Macaca fascicularis: one gene and its partner. The main gene of each other region encodes a partner of the protein of the gene in region 2 in a complex. Links are inferred from orthologs where the notes say so. Each region holds a gene or a part of one and is shown on either strand. Other genes may lie near its edges. The genes, in order: EIF4EBP1 and RPTOR.

The links.
Region 1: the proteins of RPTOR (region 2) and EIF4EBP1 are in contact, whole or in part, in a cryo-EM structure (PDB 6BCX), measured with the Homo sapiens proteins. The link is inferred for Macaca fascicularis from reciprocal best matches to the Homo sapiens genes RPTOR and EIF4EBP1. Residues at the interface, in NP_065812.1 of Homo sapiens: Arg54, Arg305, Thr317, Asp321, Phe337, Arg338, Leu341, Ala344, Arg348, Leu437, Gln438, Leu440, Leu441, Ser442, Gln443, Arg446, Tyr475, Lys478, Leu479, Gln481; in NP_004086.1 of Homo sapiens: Glu111, Ser112, Gln113, Phe114, Glu115, Met116, Asp117, Ile118.

Annotation. Positions count from the first base shown.
Region 1 is NC_088382.1:41,418,311-41,427,643, reverse strand, and holds the start of EIF4EBP1 (eukaryotic translation initiation factor 4E-binding protein 1), read right to left. Parts: upstream 5,540-9,333; 5' UTR 5,478-5,539; coding exon 5,333-5,477; intron 1-5,332. UniProt on the Homo sapiens protein: Repressor of translation initiation that regulates EIF4E activity by preventing its assembly into the eIF4F complex: hypophosphorylated form competes with EIF4G1/EIF4G3 and strongly binds to EIF4E, leading to repress translation.
Region 2 is NC_088390.1:87,310,027-87,319,259, reverse strand, and holds part of RPTOR (regulatory-associated protein of mTOR), read right to left. Parts: intron 7,464-9,233; coding exon 7,346-7,463; intron 6,448-7,345; coding exon 6,307-6,447; intron 5,361-6,306; coding exon 5,202-5,360; intron 4,628-5,201; coding exon of another isoform or gene 4,368-4,627; exon of another isoform or gene 3,232-4,367; intron 1-3,231. UniProt on the Homo sapiens protein: Component of the mechanistic target of rapamycin complex 1 (mTORC1), an evolutionarily conserved central nutrient sensor that stimulates anabolic reactions and macromolecule biosynthesis to promote cellular biomass generation and growth.

The DNA of each region.
Region 1 (9,333 bases), on a different chromosome or scaffold from region 2:
GCATGGTGGCATGTGCCTGTCATCCCAGCTACCAGGGAGACTGAGGCAGGAGAATCAGCCTGAACCTGGCAGGCACAGGTTGCAGTGAGCTGAGATCACGCCACTGCACTCTAGCCTGGATGACAGAATGAGACTGCCTCAAAAATAAAATTAAAATTAAAAATAATAATAATAATAAGGCTGAGTGTGGTGGCTCATGCCTATAATTCTAGCACTTTGGGAGGCCGAGGCGGGTGGATCACCTGAGGTCAGGAGTTTGAGACCAGCCTGACTAACAAGATGAAACCCTGTCTCTAATAAAAATACAAAAATTGGCCGGGCGCGGTGGCTCAAGCCTGTAATCCCAGCACTTTGGGAGGCCGAGACGGGCGGATCACGAGGTCAGGAGATCGAGACCATCCTGGCTAACACAATGAAACCCCGTCTCTACTAAAAATACAAAAAAATTAGCCGGGCGTGGTGGCGGCGCCTGTAGTCCCAGCTACTCGGGAGGCTGAGGCAGGAGAATGACGGGAACCTGGGAGGCGGAGCTTGCAGTGAGCCGAGATCGCGCCACTGCACTCCAGCCTGGGCGACAGAGTGAGACTCCGCCTCAAAAAAAAAAAAAAAATACAAAAATTAGCCATGTGTGGTGGCAAATGCCTGTAATCCCAGCTACTTGGGAGGCTGAGGCAGGAGAATCGCTTGAACCCAGGAGGCGCAGGTTGCAGTGAGCCAAGATCGCACCACTGCAACCTACGCTCCAGCCTGGGTAATAAGAGCGAACCTCTATTTCAAAATAATAATAATAATAACAACAACAACAATAAAAAGGAGTCTGGGGATTGGAAGGAGTCCGGGGTGCTCTACATCAGGAACCCCCCCCCACCAAATCTTTAATAAGGGACACAGTGTGGAATGCTTCCAACACTTTAAAAATTTTATTTATTTAATTTATACCTACAGTCTCATTATGTTGCTCAGGCTGGTCTTGAACTCCTGGCCTTGAGTAATTTTCCTGCTTCAGCCTTCCTAGTAGCTGGGATTACAGGTGCGAGCCACTGCACCTGGCTCCTTCAAACACTTTAAAAGGAAGCTCAGGTAAATGTGAGAAGAGGGTCCATTGTTTCTCCCTCACTGCATTAATGTCCAAGCTCTTTTAACCCATCCTTAATAATAACTTCTTCCCTCTATGTGACTAAGGCCTCAGGACATGGGCTGTGCTCTGGCTTCGATGCCTAGCCTACGTCCCCCCTCTTCCCAGCACCGCCTCTTTCATGTCCAAAGACTTGGGAGCTGCTCCAAGGTAAGCTTCCCAGGCACAGACCTTGTTTGCTTAACCAAACAGGGTGCCATTAACACCTGCAGCTCTACCTGCTCACCTCGGATTCACCTTATCCAGGTACGAGTCTTTGGCATAACTGCCACCCAAGCCTGTATGTAGGCTTCAGAGTCAAACATGCAACACGGAGCTGGGAATGTGGAGATCGATAAGGGAAAGTTTCTTTCTGATCCACTCAAAGGTTCTGCTGGCTAATGGGTTGTTTATGGTGTTGCTGGATATTTCTAAGACTCCAAAGACTCAAATATTCATACATGACACTCCCTTCAGCAAAATTCTCTTAAGTACTCCGGACAGCTAACCTCAGCAGAGCCTCAGTGTACAAATGGTTAATGACCATGGAAAGCAAACTGGAGGCCGGGTGAGGTGACTCATGCCTATAATCCCAGCAGTTTGGGAGGCTGAGGTGGGAGGATTGCTTGAACCCAGGAGTCTGAGGCCAGCCTGGGCAATACAGAGAGACCCTGCCTCTACAAAAAAATCAAAAACTTAGCAGGGTATGGGGGCACGTGCCTATAGTCCCAGCTACTTGCAAGGCTGAGGCAGGAGGATCACTTGAGCCCAGGAGTTTGAGACTGCAGTGAGCTATGTTCATGTTACTGTACTCCAGCCTGGGTGACACAGTGAGACCCTGTCTCAGGAAAAAAAAAAAAAAAAAAAAAGGAAAGCAAACTGCAGTCACAGGAACGGAGATAGCGCAACCCAACTCTGCTTCTTTCCCTCCAGGGACGATCACTTGATGGCCATTCCCAGCAGGAGTGACTGGTGGGCACTTACTCCAGTGGTTTTTCCTGAGAAGCTGACAGTCCCTATAAGTAAGCAGGTGCAGACAGCCATACAGACACTCTATCAAAAGCCTGACTCTCCACACCATGATTTAGAGACAGATGCTGAGCCCAACCTCAAGGTTTACCTGGATGGAGTCATCATTTTTTTTTTTTTTTCCGCCAGACTCCAGAGATCTGAAAGGTGAGGGAAGTTACGTTCCACTAATTCCTGAGTACTCAGAGTGTGGTATATGCACCAATCACTGAGAGCTAGTTAGAAATGATGAATCTAGGCTGGGCATGGTGACTCATGCCTGTAATCCCAGCACTCTGGAAGGCCGAGGCAGGCAGATCACTTGAGGTCAGGAGTTTGAGACCAGCCTGGCCAACACGGTGAAATCCCCGTCTCTGCCAAAAAATACAAAAATTAGCTGGGCATGAGTGGCGTGTGCCTGTTGTCCCAGCTATTGGGGAGGCTGAGGTGGGAGGATCGCTTGACCCCGGGAGGTGGAGGTTGCTGTGAGCTGAGATCATGCCATTGCACTCCAGCCCAGGTGACAGAGTGAGACCCTTCTCAAAAAAAAAAAAAAAAAAAGAAAGAAAGAAAAAAGAAAGAAATGCTGAATCTAGTCCCCACCCCCACCTACAGAATCAGAATATGCACTTAAATGAAGCCCCCAGTTATCCTCAAGCACCTGGAAGGTTGAGACGCAGTATTCTGCTCTGGAGCAAAAGGGTCCTGCGATGTGACCATTTCAGCTTCTCTGCCCTAGCAGAGGTGGGCTGAGGTGGGCTTTGGAGGAAGAGTTCACACCTTGGCTAATCGAGGCCGACCAGGCTTGCTTGACTTTAGTGGAAGTAAGCCGGGTTTCCCTGGCTTAGGGACTGTGAGCTGTACCTGGATGACCCAAAGAGTGAGCTGGCTTTAGGCTCCTGGCACTGCTAGCTTCTTCCAGTGATCTCAGAAACATGCTATGCCCTGATGCAGAAGCCCCTTCCCCACTCCCCCTACTGTTAAAGACCTTCGGCCGGGCGCGGTGGCTCAAGCCTGTAATCCCAGCACTTTGGGAGGCCGAGACGGGCGGATCACGAGGTCAGGAGATCGAGACCATCCTGGGTAACACAGTGAAACCCCGTCTCTACTAAAAATACAAAAACTTAGCCGGGCGAGGTGGCAGGCGCCTGTAGTCCCAGCTACTCGGGAGGCTGAGGCAGGAGAATGGCGTGAACCCGGGAGGCGGAGCTTGCAGTGAGCTGAGATCCGGCCACTGCACTCCAGCCTGGGTGACAGAGCGAGACTCCGTCTCAAAAAAAAAAAAAAAAAAAAAAAAAAAAAAAAAAAAAAAAAAGACCTTCAAAAGGAGGGGGATTTGCTGTGGTCTGTCAGCCCCCTGCCTACTCCCCACTTCCCAACCCAAAGTGAAAAGTGGATTCAAAGTTCATATATTTTATGTTTATTATTTATTTTAGAGACAGGGTCTCGCTCTGTCACCCAGGCTGGAATGCAGTGGTCAATCATAGCTCACTACAGCCTCCAACTCCTGGGCTCAAGCGACCCTCTGGCCGCAGCCTCTGTAATAGCTAGGACATCTTTTTTTTTTTTTTTTGTAGAGATGGAGTCTCACTATGTTGCCCAGGCTGGTCTTGAACTCCTGGCCTCAAGCAATTCTCCTGCCTCGACTCCCCAAAATGCTGAGATTACAGGTGTGAACCTTGGTACCCGTGCCAGAAGTGCCTATAAACAGTATCTGTGGCTTCCAATTTGACCCAACAATCCAGCAATAAAAGGCGCAAAAAAGGGCTACCTGTGCCTTCAGGCCAGCCTCAGGGCCCACCCTGAACAAATCCAGCAGACACTTACACCCTCAGTTGAAAGAAGTCCAAAATTGTCAGGAATTGTCCTGGTAGACCATTGTGACAGGGACAAAGGAGAACAGCATGAACTACAAAAGACCCAGCAAGGGAAAGAGGATGAGTCGGGAGTGGCAATAAGAGCCCCTGCGAGCTTTTCCTTGGCTCATTTCTAATAGAAAACGAAGCATTCCTCCCTTCTCTGCCTGGTTGCTATTTCTTGTCCAATCTGGGAAAACGGTGTGACAATGGGCAATAGACACGTGTTCAAGCTCTGGGGCCTCAATGCCCGGCTCTGTAGAATAAGGCGGCAGGGCTGGACAAGATCCCTAACCGTTCTAACAGTGTATGTTTTGGATCAAATAGCTGAGGACCTCGGATCCGGCCGTGCATGCTGCTGGTAGGACAGCTGCCTGAGAAAATAAGCATGTGGCCCCTGCCCGCCACCGAGTGAAGCGCCAGGATCTGTCGCGTTTTCGAGTAGTTTGGAAAGCAGCGTGGAGGAGATTGAAGGGAGAGAAGTCAAAGGGGTGGGGGCAGTACGAGGATGGGAGGGGAGTGGAGAGCCACGAGGATTTGTTTCATCATGCAAACAGGCGCGTAGGTTTCATCAGCGTCTGTGCGCTGGGGTTGCGGGGCTGGGAGGGAATGCCAGGCTCCTGAGGGCAGCCTGAGGCTGCCCCCCCACCCCCGCACCCGTGCCAGCTCAGCTTCCTCTTCCTCATCCTCTCCCAGGGAGGTCACACGGTGCCTCCTCCTCTCCCCGGACAGAAGAACGTGTTTTTCTGCACAGCCCTGCCCGTGGCGCCCGGCCCCCCCGCGGAGATCCCACTCGCGAAAATGGGGAACGTGCCACAGGTGCCCGGGAGGCTCTGCTGGAGCAGGAGAGCACCCCCACATCCAAACCTCCGTCAGAGCGCGCGTGTCCAACGCAAAACTAGGGGTGCTTCGGAAAGGAAAAAGGGCCCTGCAGGAATCATTTATCCCAACAGATAATACCCATCCCATAAAAACACCAGGCCAGGCCTCTCCTGGATCGTGGGCCACCCTGACTCCGCCCTATCCTGCCTCGGGAGCGCCCCCAACACCCACAAGGGGCAGCACAGCTCGGCATGTGGCAGTCCTGGAAGAGTGCGTGTTTGTTAGGTGTCAGCTGTCTGACACCTAACAGAAAGAGGAAACGAACGGGGCAGTTTGCAACCTGGGTCTGGACGACGCACTCAAGAGGGCAGACGGGCGGCCACTTCCATGACCCTTGCTATCTCCCCGATGCCCCTTCTCCGTTCTTTCCAGTCACAGCGCCCTTGAGCCTGGACACCCGGTCCAATCCGCGATTCCCGATCCTCCCGCCCGCCCAGGAGCCGGCCAGCTGCGTCCCCAAGCCCGCGCCTACCTCCCGGGGTGGTGCTGAAGAGTGTGCCGCCGGGGGTCGTGCTGTAGTCCCCGGGCGGGAGCTGCACGCCGTCGCCGAGCACCACCCGGCGAGTGGCGGGGATGGCCCGACTTGGGGTTTGGCTGCAGCTGCTGCCCCCGGACATGGTCTCCTGTGCGCTGCACCAGCGAACCTCTCGCTGCCCTCCCGCGCCTCCAGCCTCGCTCCGCCTAGCCGGGTCCCGCTCAGCCTCGCCCCGTCCCGCCCCGCCCCAGGACGCCCCTTCCGCCTCTCCCGCCCACGCCCCTGGGATTTGTAGTCCGCGCCGCAGCCCCACCCAGCTCCAGGACGTTGCTTCCACGTGGGATCCCCCGCAGCCCCCCGACCCACTCACGCCTGCTCACGGGCTCTTCCGCACGGGCGCCGGCGCCGCCCCGCAGCGACTGCCCCTCTGTCCTGTGTCCCTCCCCGCCACGTTGGCAGGGATGGGGGTGGGGGTGGTGGGCGGGATAGCTCGCCTAAATTAATCCTTGGCTGGGTTGGGGGCGGCGACTCAGGACCGCGCGGAGATCCGAGCTGACCCGGCCCACTGCAGGAAGGCCCGGTTTCTGCCTTAGTACATCAGGCCCGGTGTACCCTCCGGCACTCCCTGTTTCGTGCCTTAGTTCCTCAGATGAGAAAGTGGGGATTGAGTGGTCATGCTCACCCCCTCCCCCGCCTCAATTTCTTGACCTTGATGGGGGTGGGGATGGTGGGGCTAACAATTCTGTTCCCGGCCTTTAGACAGGGTGTGGGAGGAGGAGTGAACCAACCAGCGGCGTCCTGGGAGTTAAATTTAGAGCTAGGGCGCGGGGGTAGGGGGAGAGGGAAGGGCGTAGGAGAGGGGTAAGAGTTTGTCAAAGAGGTTTCCCGATAACTCCTGAATTGGGTCCAACGCCCACCCCACTGCCTGAGATTTAGTAGGTACTCCTTGGATGGTGGATGGAGGGATGTTCAAGGGGAGAGAGAAAAATGCAAGAAGGACCGAGGATGGAAAAGCTTGTTGGGTTTGAGAAGTTCTTAGCATTGTGGGCACATGTTGTGGGGAAGAGGGTGAAGAAAGTTTAAAAGGGAAATTGGGTGGTGCACCTGTAATCCCCACTACTCAGGAAGCTGAGCTGGAGGATGCTTGAGCTCAGGAGTTTGAGGCTCCAGTGAGTGTGATCACACCACTGCACTCCACCCTTAGTGACAGAGACCCTATCTCTAAAAAATATATAATAATTTTTTAAAAAGGAAATTGGGGTCAGGTCATTGAGTTTTTCAAATCATGCCAAAGTGCTTGGACTTTGTCTTAGAAGGGCAGGAGAGATCAGAGATTTTTTTTTTTTTTTTTTTTTTTTAAGGCTGGAGTGCAGTGGCGCGATCTTGGCTCACTGCAAGCTCTGCCTCCCGGGTTCACGCCATTCTCCTGCCTCAGCCTCCCGAGTAGCTGGGACTACAGGCGCCCGCCACTGCGCCCAGCTAATTTTTTGTATTTTTAGTAGAGATGGGATTTCACCGTGTTAGCCAGGATGGTGTTGGTGTCGATCTCCTAACCTCGTGATCCACCCGCCTCGGCCTCCCAAAGTGCTGGGATTACAGGCGTGAGTCACCGCGTCCAGCCCAGAGATCTTTTAAGCAGGGGGATGACATGATTTGAGTTGTTTTTTTTGAAAGATAACTAGTAGCCAGTGGAGTTTCAGGATGGGCCAAGGAGGGCAAGGCCTGAGATAGGGAGACCTGTTGAATTTGGTCTCACTTTTGAGGGAAACTTTAGGCCTACAGTGGCTTAAGACAGTAGCCGCCAGCTACAGGTGCACATTGAGCACTCCAAATGTGGCCAGTCCAAACTGTCACAAGTTTAACATACACACCATATTTCAAAGACTTAGCATGAAAAAAATAATGTAAAATGCCTGAATAATTTGTTTCTATATTGATTGTATGTTGAACTGATAATATTTTGAGTATATTGGGTTCAGAAAATTACATTAAAAAATTAATTTTGGGCCAGGTGCAGTGGCTTACGCCTGTAATCCCAACACTTTGGGAGGCCGAGGTGGGCAGATCACGAGGTCAAGAGATCGAGACCATCCTGGACAACATGGTGAAACCCTGTGTCTACTAAAAATACAAAAAAAATTAGCTGGGCATGGTGGTGCGTGCCTGTAGTTCCAGCTTACTCGGGAGGCTGAGGCAGGAGAATCGCTTGAACCTGGGAGGTGGAGGTTGCAGTGAGCCGAGATCACACCACTGCACTGCAGCCTGGTATCAGAGCAAGACTCCATCTCAAAAGAAAAAAAAAAATTAGGCCGGGCGCGGTGGCTCAAGCCTGTAATCCCAGCACTTTGGGAGGCCGAGACGGGCGGATCACGAGGTCAGGAGTTCGAGACCATGCTGGCTAACACGGTGAAACCCCGTCTCTACTAAAAAATACAAAAAACTAGCCGGGCGAGGTGGCGGGCGCCTGTAGTCCCGGCTACTCGGCAGGCTGAGGCAGGAGAATGGCGTAAAAACCCGGGAGGCAGAGCTTGCAGTGAGCTGAGATCCAGCCACTGCACTCCAGCCTGGGCGACACAGCGAGACTCCGTCTCAAAAAAAAAAAAAAAGAAAAAAAAAATTAATTTCGGCCAGGTGCGGTGGCTCACGCCTGTAATCCCAGCACTTTGGGAGGCCTAGGCGGGTGGATCATGAGGTCAGGAGTTCAAGACCAGCTTGCCAAGATGGTGAAACCCTGTCTCTACTAAAAATACAAACAACAACAACAAAAAGCCGGCCATAATGGCCGGCACCTGTAATCCCAGCTACTCAGGAGGCTGAGGCAGAGGTTGTAGTGAGCCGAGAACCACCACTGCACTCCTGCCTGGGCGACAGAGTAAGACGCTGTCTCAAAAAAAAAAAAAAAAAAAAGAAGGCCGGGCATGGTGGCTCACGCCTGTAATCCCAGCACTTTGGGAGGCCGAGGCGGGTGGATCACGAGGTCAGGAGATCGAGACCATCCTGGCTAACACGGTGAAACCCTGTCTCTACTAAAAATACAAAAAATTAGCCGGACGTGGTGGTGGGCGCCTGTAGTCCCAGCTACTCGGGAGGCTGAGGCAGGAGAATGGCGTGAACCCGGGAGGTGGAGCTTGCAGCGAGCCGAGATGGCGCCACTGCACTCCAGCCTGGGTGACAGAGCAAGACTCCGTCTCAAAAAAAAAAAAAAAGAAAAAGAAATTAATTTCGTCCAGGCTGTGGATCACACCTGTAATCCCAGTACATTTGGAGGCTGAAGTGATCAGAGTGCTTGGGCGCAGGAGTTTGAGACCAGCCTGGGCTACATGGTGAAACCTTGTCTCTACAAAAAAATTTAAAAATTAGCCCAGTGTTGTGGCTCACACCTGTGGTCCCAGCTGCTTTCAAGGATGAGGTAGGAAGATGACCTGAGCCCCAGAGGTGGAGGTTGCCATGAGCCAAGATTGCACCACTGCACTCCAGCCGGGGCTCAAAAACAAAATAAATAAAATAAGAAAAAATAAAAATAGATCAGGTCTTGGTGGTTGGGATTACAAGGCCAGAGGATTGCTTGAGGCCTGAAGTTCAGAGACCAGCCTGGGCAACATAGCAAGACCTTGTTTCAAAAAATGGCTTGTGAGCCATTACAGGTGGCTCACACCTGTAATCCCAACACTGAGAGGCCGAGGCGGTCAGATCACAAGGTCAGGAGACCGAGACCATCCTAGCTAACACGGTGAAACCCCGTCTCTACTAAAAATACAAAAAAAAAAAAAAAAAAATTACCCGGGCATGGTGGCAGACTCCTGTAGTCCCAGCTTCTCAGGAGGCTGAGGCAGGAGAATCACCTGAAACTGGGAGGCAGAAGTTGCAGTGGGCCGAGATCATGCCACTGCACTCCAGCCTGGGTGACAGAGCAAGATTTCGTCTCCCAAAGAAAAAAAAAAAAAGAGTTTCACTCTTGCCTGAGCTGGAGTGCAGTGGCTAATTATAGGCACAATCAT
Region 2 (9,233 bases):
GTAAGCACGGTGGTTTCCAGGTAGCGTAAGCGACACCTTCCTGAATATGAATGAGGCTGGCTTCGCGGGGGTGACTTTGTTTCTCTCCTTCCTAAACTCCAGCTCATTGTGAAACTCTTCCCTGTCAAATTTCCTAAGATTTGAATGACACACGAATAAAACTCAGTCTTCTCCAGTAAAAAAAAAAAAGTCAGGAATCAGACTGTGTAAGAAGGATGGTGGAATGGGGACTCCAGCTCCTTCGAGAAGACAGAAGAGAAAGAAGGGGCAGAGGAGAAGACTCATGGAGGCCAAGCCCCTGTCCTGGCCCCAAGCTGCCGTGTGCTTTCCGTCTGGGTGACCCTCAGATGACACTGATTCTTCGCCCTGTACTCCACCGAGACTAGTACCGAGGATAACAGCGGCATTCACTCATCACAGACAAGAGCTAAGTTTCACACAGGAGCTGGGCGGGGTCCCCGCGGTCCCTCTCGCCTGTGGACAGCACCCAGGGCCTCAGGCATGGCCCGTGCACAGTAAACACCAGCCTCAGCAAGTTAAGCCACCTGGAAACTCCACAGTTGTGAACTTTCTGCAGCCTTCACCAGCAGAAGGGGAGATGCCCACGTGGTATCCAAAATGCCCAGGGGGAAAGGGAGGTGCAGTGGGCATGGGGACCTGCAGACAGAAGCTCTCAGTGGTGGCATGGTGACCCAGCGCTATACCGCCTGGCTTGAGCTCCCTGGACCAATAAAAGGTGCAGTTCTGCATGCTTGCAGGCCAGGTGCAACTTTTTATTTTGATTCTTACTTGATGGCCAGATACGTGTGAGCGGAGGGATGAGAGTGAACTGAGAACGCCATAGAGCACGGGCTGGGCAGGGCGGTGGGGCAACCAGGCCCTTGGCAGACGGTCACCAGGTGAGCACCGAGGGGTGATGCCGCTGTAGCTTCCTGTGAAAGAGGAAGGCCAGCCGGGTGTGGTGGCTCATGCCTGTAATCCCAGCACTTTGGGAGGCCGAGGCAGGCGGATCACCTGAGGTTGGAAGTTCGAGACCAGCCTGACCAACATGGAGAAACCTTGTCTCTACTAAAAATACAAAATTAGCCAGGTATGTTGGCATGTGCCTGTAATCCCAGCTACTTGGGAGGCTGAGGCAGGAGAATCGCTTGAACCTGGGAGGCGGAGGTTGCAGTGAACAGAGATCATGCCATTAAACTCTAGCCGGGGCGACAAGGGCAAAACTCCGTCTCAAAAAAAAAAAAAAGAAGAAGAAGAAGGCCACAGCGAGCACACAGCCCCAGGAGAGCCACAGTGGAAGCAGGGAGACCCGGGAGGGAGCTGCGACCACCAGGCCAAAGAGCAGCTGGCTCAGGTGGCTGCAAGGCGGGGAGGAGACTGGCCACAGATGCCCTGCCAAGAGAAGGATGCGTGGGGGTACAAAGAGGAGTCTCTGACTCCTGGCCAGGAGTCAACCTGAGTAAACGCCGGTCCCCTCGGCCACAGAGGGAGGACACGTGCTCCTGCAGGGAGGGGAAGGAGATGCCCAGAGCCGATGGTACCGGCTTCGACACAGGTGGCGCTGGGTTTGCCTGTTCTGCACTTTTGTGCCCCAATGTGCACAGTGGGGGCACGGTCAAAATATGTGGCCAATATGTGGAAGAGTCTCAAGCCCTCTGTCTGACTCACAGGAGTGTCCTCAGAGGAGTGTCCCTGCAGGCTGGGGTGCGGGCAGGGTGTGCTCCGCTCTCAGGCTCTCTGAGCTGAACTCGGCCTTGTTCTTCTATGGCCTGTGTATGGTTCTTACACTTTTTTTTTTTTTTTTTGAGACGGAGTCTCGCTCTGTCGCCCAGGCTGGAGTGCAGTGGCGCAATCTCGGCTCACTGCAAGCTCCGCCTCCCGGGTTCACGCCGTTCCCCGGCCTCAGCCTCCCGAGTAGCTGGGACTACAGGCGCCCGCCACTGCGCCCGGCTAATTTTTTCTATTTTTAGTAGAGACGGGGTTTCACCATGGTCTCGATCTGCTGACCTTGTGATCCGCCCGCCTCGGCCTTCCAAAGTGCTGGGATTACAGGCGTGAGCCACCGCGCCCGGCCAGTTCTTACACTTTTTAGGTGGTTGAAAAAAAATCAAAGGAACAATATTTTGTGATGTGAAGTTATGCAAAATTCGAACTTCAGTCCACATGGTTACGTAGCAACATGGCCAAGTTCATTCACTCACACGCGGTCTCTGGCTGCTTTTGCACCACAATGGCAGTGCTGGGGAAGTGCCAAGGGGCAGTCCCACCTGCAAAGCTCTTTCATAGGAAGACTGCAGACTCCTGCTCTAACCTACACGTGACGGCAGGGAGCTACCACCTCGACCTCGGTGAGCATGAACTAACCTGCTGGAGGCGCTAGAGAGGTACTCACAGGAGCTGTGGCCGGGGCCAGGGGAAAGGTGTAATCAAAACAGAATACTATGAATTTACACTTTCTAGTACTTAAAAAAATATTTAAAATACCTTTTTACATTGCAGATTTATAAGTAGAATTTCTGCAGACAGGTTTTAAAAGACACTTGTAGGCTAGCCTGGAAACCTAACCACTATATATAACAATTCTATTTAAAAAGTGTATTCCAGTTCAAAACAAACATCTTACAAGTGATTTTAGAATATATTTCATTGGTGACTTGGCAATACCTCGATTTATACTCTAATATACAGTGTCAACTCTGCGCTTTCTGGGTGCTTGGCATATTTTAGCAGACAACCAAAGCTGCAACGTTATTTCTCAATGAAAATTAACAAGTTGGTCTGTCTGGGCTAAGCTGGCGTGTCTGGGTTGTTGTGTAGTGAACCTTTCAGTTCTCCATACCCTGGAGGGCATGGTGCAAGCTCTGGACTCATTCTATCCAGAGGTGCTCAAGGCAGCAGCTGGCCAAAGCCGGGAGCACACCCACAGGCTTGCCCAGTGGGAACTGCCTTGGCGGATGCCCTGTGTCTGTTTCAGGTCTTTAGGCTCCCATGTGCTGCTGTCATTGTGGCCGGACTGCCGTCCCCGGGAACCACAAGGGAAGTAGAAAGAGAGCTTGAAGCTGAACGCAAGTGAAAAGCCCATCATCAAAGCTCGGCAGGGGGAGCCAGACGGCCGGGGGAGCGGGCGGGATGGGGAGACGGCGGGGGGAGTGGGCCAGGGGAAGACGGCAGTGGCGGGGGTCCCGCAGACCTGAACACACGCATTAGGAAGGAAGGAAAACTCAAAGTTAATGAGCTATTTTTATTTTGCACTTGAGAACTGAAACAGGACAAGAGGGTGATCCTAGAGAAAACAGAAGAAAGGAAACAAAATAAAGTACTGGAATAGAAAAATAAAGATAAAATAATGCAGTAAATTCACAAAGCCTAAGTTAGAACTTGAAGACACTAAAGAAATGAACAAATATCTTAGAGGATTCATCAATAAAAAGAGGAAAAGGCAAATAAACAACAATAGGAATAAAAAGGGACACATCTAAAGAGACAGCAGATTGGGAATGACAGAGCAGCTGGAACAATAAAGAGATTAGAGACTCATGAGAATACTGCAGACAGCCTCAAGGGAAAGAATGAGAATACTTAGCTGGATTGAATAAAATCCTAGAAAAATAAAAGTTTTTGAAGCTAGCTTAAGAAGAAATAGAGAGTGTAAATAATCCTATCAGCATTGAAGAAATGGAATACAGAATTCAAACCCACCCTCACAACGTCACACTAGCCCAGACAGCTCGGGGCAAATTCAGGGGAGGCTTCTCGGAAGGTGCTGCCGGATGGGGGCTCTGAATGAGAGGGGAGCGGTACCATATGCCCGAGAAGAGCTTCCCCACCGAAGCCCAGGCTGGGGGCCGCGAGTGCCGGGGCCCAGCAGAGCTGGGTGCAGCGAGTGAGGGGTGTGTCGGACGTGGGGCTCCATGGTGGCAGGGGCTGAATTCTGAGTTTGCTAATTAAAAAAAGGAACAAAAAAGAAGAAGAAACTAGAACCAGCCTCACAGTGCCCCGACAGGAGAATGGATAATGGAGTCACGGCAGAGAGCAGAGGTGAAGGAACAAAACCTAGATGACTATCAAAGATACAGATTGAAGTCAGAGCCAAACGGGTTTTGCAGGCCACGCGTTGTGTGACGGCGCCAACAGGAGGTAAAAGCCTCTAAGTGGGTACCACGTATGTGCCAGGGCTCATGGCCAGAAAGGGAAAGGATAACGTCACCAGAGGGAATGGGACCGGGGTGGGCTCTGGGGCTCGACCTCTGTAATTCCTTAAGCTGGGAATACAACACGCAGACACACACACACACACACACACATATACACACGCAAGTCTCTGTAAATTTTTACATGGCTAAAATGTTCCTTAATATGAAAAAAACTCAAGTGAAGCCGGTAAGCCATTCTGGATAGTCAGAACAAGAGGAGAGGAGGCTCGTTTGGTTAAGCCCTAAATCTGTTACCAGCAGTGTGAAGATGAACACAGCTACACAATAAGAAAACACAGTGAATTCCTGCTTCTCCTGCTTTACATCAGCAATCCTGGTGGTAGAACCCAGGCATACACCATTCATGGCAGAACAAGAGAAGAATCCGACCCTTCCATCAGATTTCCATTTCCAGGCAGTGCTGCGTCCAGCTGCTGGAATGGAGGGAAAGTTCTGTAGAGATTCCGCAGATGGGCAGGGCGGGGATGACAGCCCCCAGTCCCGACCGCAGGGCCCTCTGCCGCTCACTGCGGACACTCTGTGTGGGGGCCGATCTGGGCACTAGAGGATGTGAGCAGCTTCCTGGCCTCACCCACTAGGGCAAAGAGCACCCCTACTGTGCCCTAGTTGCACCTGCGGGCAAACCCAGCCCCGGTTGAGAAGCACTGCTCTGCATCACCAGGGTGTCAAGCACCCATGAAGAACGCTCATCCATCTACAGAAGAAAGATGGAAGGTTCTGGCAGCCTTCCCACCCGGCCAAGCTAGCCAGCTCCCATGGCTCCGGAGCGGCCTGTAAAATACCATCCCATCACAACAGTGATTTCAACTTTCCCGCTTCCCCCAGCAAAATATCCTCACGTCCTCGCAGTCCAGCTGACTTTTATTCTTTCTTTTGAACAGATAGCTTCGACACCCACTGCCCTATGCAGACACAGGTTGGTGCTGCTCTGTGTGGGGAGGAGACCCTCGGGGCCTCTCGGAAGCAGAAAGGGGCACTCGGACTCACCGATGAGGGAGTTGAGGGAGGAGTAGGAGCTGGCGCGGCGCATCTTGTCGATGGTCTCGAAGGACAGGATGTGCTCCTCATTCTCGGGGCTGCCCAGGGTACTGCTGGCACTGCTGCTGGTGCTGAGGTTTCCAGGGGAGAACGCCACCGCGCCGCCGGCTGCCCGAGACACAGTGGGGTCAGTGGGGTGCTCCCGGGACCCTCCTTTTGGTCTTAAAGTTAATGGCATGACTGAGATATGTATTTTCTTCTAAATAAAGCTCAGCACACCCAGGCACAAACACACCCTGGTACATACACACCCTAGCACACACACCCTGGTATACACACACCCTGGTACACACACCCTGGCGCACATTATACCCTGGTACACACACCCTGCCGTGCACACACCCTGGTAAACACACCCTGGTACACACACCCTGGCATACACACACCCTGGTACACACACCGTGGTACACACACACCCTGGCATACACACACCCTGGCACACACACACCCTGGCGCACACACACCCTGGTACACACACCCTGGCACATACCCTGGTACACACACCCTGGCACACACACACCCTGGTACACACACCCTGGCGCACACACACCCCGGTGCGCACACCCTGGCTCACACACACCCTGGTACACACACACTGGTACACACACACCCTGGTACACACACACTGGCACACACACACCCTGGTACACACACACACCCTGGTACACACACACTGGCACACACACACCCTGGTGCACACATAGGCACAGGAACTCACTGATCTCCCTGGGAACCAAGCTCCACACCCACAGACTGGGGCAGGGCACGGCCCTCCAAGGAGCCGCCGCTTCGCCTGCGACTGCAATTGAGCTCTGCACTGGTAACGTGCCCGCTGGCTGTTCTGGGGACTGGCCTACGCCTCCTTGCCATGCTCACGTCTGGAAGGGTGACTCCAGACGAGGACAGCTGGCTCATCACCATGTTGCCAGATGCAACTTCAGGGCATGCACTTAGAGAAGGGGCAGGGGCAGAGTGATTCTTGCTCAGATAAAAAGTTTTGGAAAATACAACCCCAATCTCTCCCAATCCAAGAACCCAGTTTCCAGGATCTTACATTCCTCTGTCAAGCTCAGGTTCTGCAAAGATTTGTTGAGGCTCCTGGCTGTGGCGACAGCACGGATGTTTCCATAGGAGCTCACGGAACGAAGTCTGGGGGTGCACGGGCTGTCTCGCACTGGGGTCAGACTCCCTCCCTCTGGGAAAGAAGGAGAAAGACAAGTTACGATGGGCTTCCAGGTGCAGGCCGGCGTGTCTTCTGACACTCAGCAGCTGGGACACTCGGTGACGGCAGCTGCTACCTATACTGGAACGAATGTGAACGCAGGAGCTGCGCAGCTCAGGGAGACTCAGACGTGAGTGGAGGCTCTGCGGGATGGCACTGGACAAACGACAACCGCTTGTCGCTCTGTGGATATTAAATTACAAAAGACAACAGGGGAGAGGCTGGTGGCTGCGGCCTGTCCAAGTGCACACAAGGTGCGTGGTGACGTGGGCCATGAGCCGTTCCCCGGGAAGCCGCAGCAGAGCAATGGCCGGCCGCACTCAGTCTGGCTCACCCTTCTCCCTTCCTGGGCTTCCTATAAGCAGTGAGGCTTCACTGTTGATGACAAGCCTCTGCATGGCAGAGACGGCTGTGTGGTAGGGGAGGGGCTGCCAGCAGCGATGAGATAGGAACTGTACTCTCCAGTCAAAACGACACGTGTGAGAAAGGACTCGACATGACTCACCGAGCCACGGAGCCAACAGCAGTGTGATGAAATGACTCACGGCAGGAAGGCGGCCCCTGCGCTTTTCTGCAAAGCTCCTATTGCAGAAGTTTGTCATACTTCAAGGTTTCTGTGAGTTTAATTTCCAAAAAGGGTAAAAAGAAAGGAAAAATGTAAGAGGGTCAGTGTGGCCCTCTTTCCTGTCCTTTCGAATCTGACGGGTGCCTAAAAAGATGAGAAACACAGGGACCCCTTGCAGAGGGATCTGGGAAACCCGAGCTTAGACTCTGCGAGAGTCAGCAAGTGGCCAGCAGTCCTGAGACTGGGCCAGGCCTGCGCTAGAACCGCCAGGCCAGGTGCTCAGCGGGTTCACAGGAGACGCCGTACCTGTGGTCGCTGGAGAAGGCAAGGGGTAGTTCTTCTCCTCTTCTATGAACTGCAGGGCCACAGTGCAGAAATTGCTTTCGTACTGAACCACGAGATGACTCAGAGCCACCACCAGCTCCTGCCGAGAGGGAGACGGGACAATAACACTCACTGGGGCCGGAAGATGACTGAGGGCAGCAGTGAGATGTGAGTCACCCACAGAAAAGAAAGGTTAAGACAAAAGCGTGCTGTCGGCGTCAGAAAAAGGGACCATCCCTTTTCGAACCCAGAAGCCTTGAACAGCAGTGCCGTGGAGATGGCAGGCCACCGGCTCACGGGGGAAGCCCAGAACGCCTGCCAGGATCCTCACCACCGCTAGCTGCGCACGACGCATGGGGGTCTCATAAGGACACGGTGAGTCATAGACTCCAGGCGGGGAAAGGTAGGAGGCCTCACAGCCTCTCGCTTACGGTCACCACTGGGACCCCGGCTGAAAACGCCGCTTTAGATCACACCCGACGGCTGGCGGCCTTTCTGAATCTGAGCACCCCAGGGCCGAGCGCAGCGGACAAGCTGAAGCCTGCTCTTTTCAACACACGTGAAACTTTTACTGGAAGACGTTTCTAGTCCCTAAGAGGGAATGGGAAAAGTTGTGGAACTAAAACATCATCTTTAGGCCCAAATGCCTTGGTCCAGGGAAACAGACACAATTTGCCTCTGTTTTAGGACGGTTCAGTGCTGTGACAGGAACAGCTGGAGATCCTAGAAGTCACTGGGAAACAGAAGGGGGATGTAGGTTTAAAAAACAGAAGGAATGCTTTTTTCCCTACGACAACTTTCTCTGCCTTTTTTTTCTACAAAGAAAAAAGATGGATTCTTAGCAGAAAGCCAAGTGCTGCGAGAGGACCCCTTGCTTGTTGCGTGATGCTCCCGTCTCCGCAGCAGCAGGATGAGCAGGCTCTGGATGGGCGCCCACCAGGGACCAGGGTCTTCTCGTGGCCGCCCACTCTCCGTCTACACGCTCTCTGTCCATGCACTCTCCCACCCCAGCTTTACACGCCCTGGGCTTCCTCCTGTCGTGCTTTGTGGTTTCCCTGATGCTGGCCCCTCACTCTCCTAGCTCCAGGCTGGCTGTCCAGCTGTCGGCTCTTCACCTGCACCCCAAACTCTCCCTGGCCTGTGAACTGTGGGCACCGTCTACTTTCCATTCAGCCTGCAGCGCCCTCTTGATTTGCGCCCATGGAACTGCAAGTCTCGCACTGCTCAGAATGGAGCCCTGGCATCACCCTCCACTTGCCCCTCCCGCCCTGCTGGGCACCAAGGGCCGTGGCCCAGTGTGCGTCTTCACCGCCATGGCCCACACCCGGTTCTGGTGCTCCAACTGCCTAAGCCACTGTCCCAGGCTCCCGGACAAACCACAGAACCCCCGCTGCCTTCCCTGTGCAAGAGGAGTGAGGCACTGCCCAGACGGGGCCTCCGACAAAGCAAACTGGGCCCCTTCCAGAGAAGATCAAGGCTGCACCTGTCTTCAGAAAGTACCGATTTTTTCCCTTTCCTTCTGACATCAGGTGAGAAAAGCCAGAGCTGGGCCCTGGCATGGATTAACGTGCACCAAGGTGGTGGGCCTTTCGATTCGGGGAGGTCAACAGGGGCCACGTCCATTATTCAAGGGGAACGTCCAGAGAGCACTCACTCCCGAACACACATCCTGCTGCATACGGGGGCCTCGCTCGGAGCCGCACATCCTGCTGCAGATAGTGGGCCTTGCTCTGGAGGCTGCTGCCTGGCACACAGCAAAGACTTTTCCCTTTGCGTCAGACCCTTCCTGCCCTTCCTGAATGGAGCTGGGCTCTGACAGCAAGACACACAGGCACCGGCCTTCTTTGGGATATTCGTGCAGAACCCATCA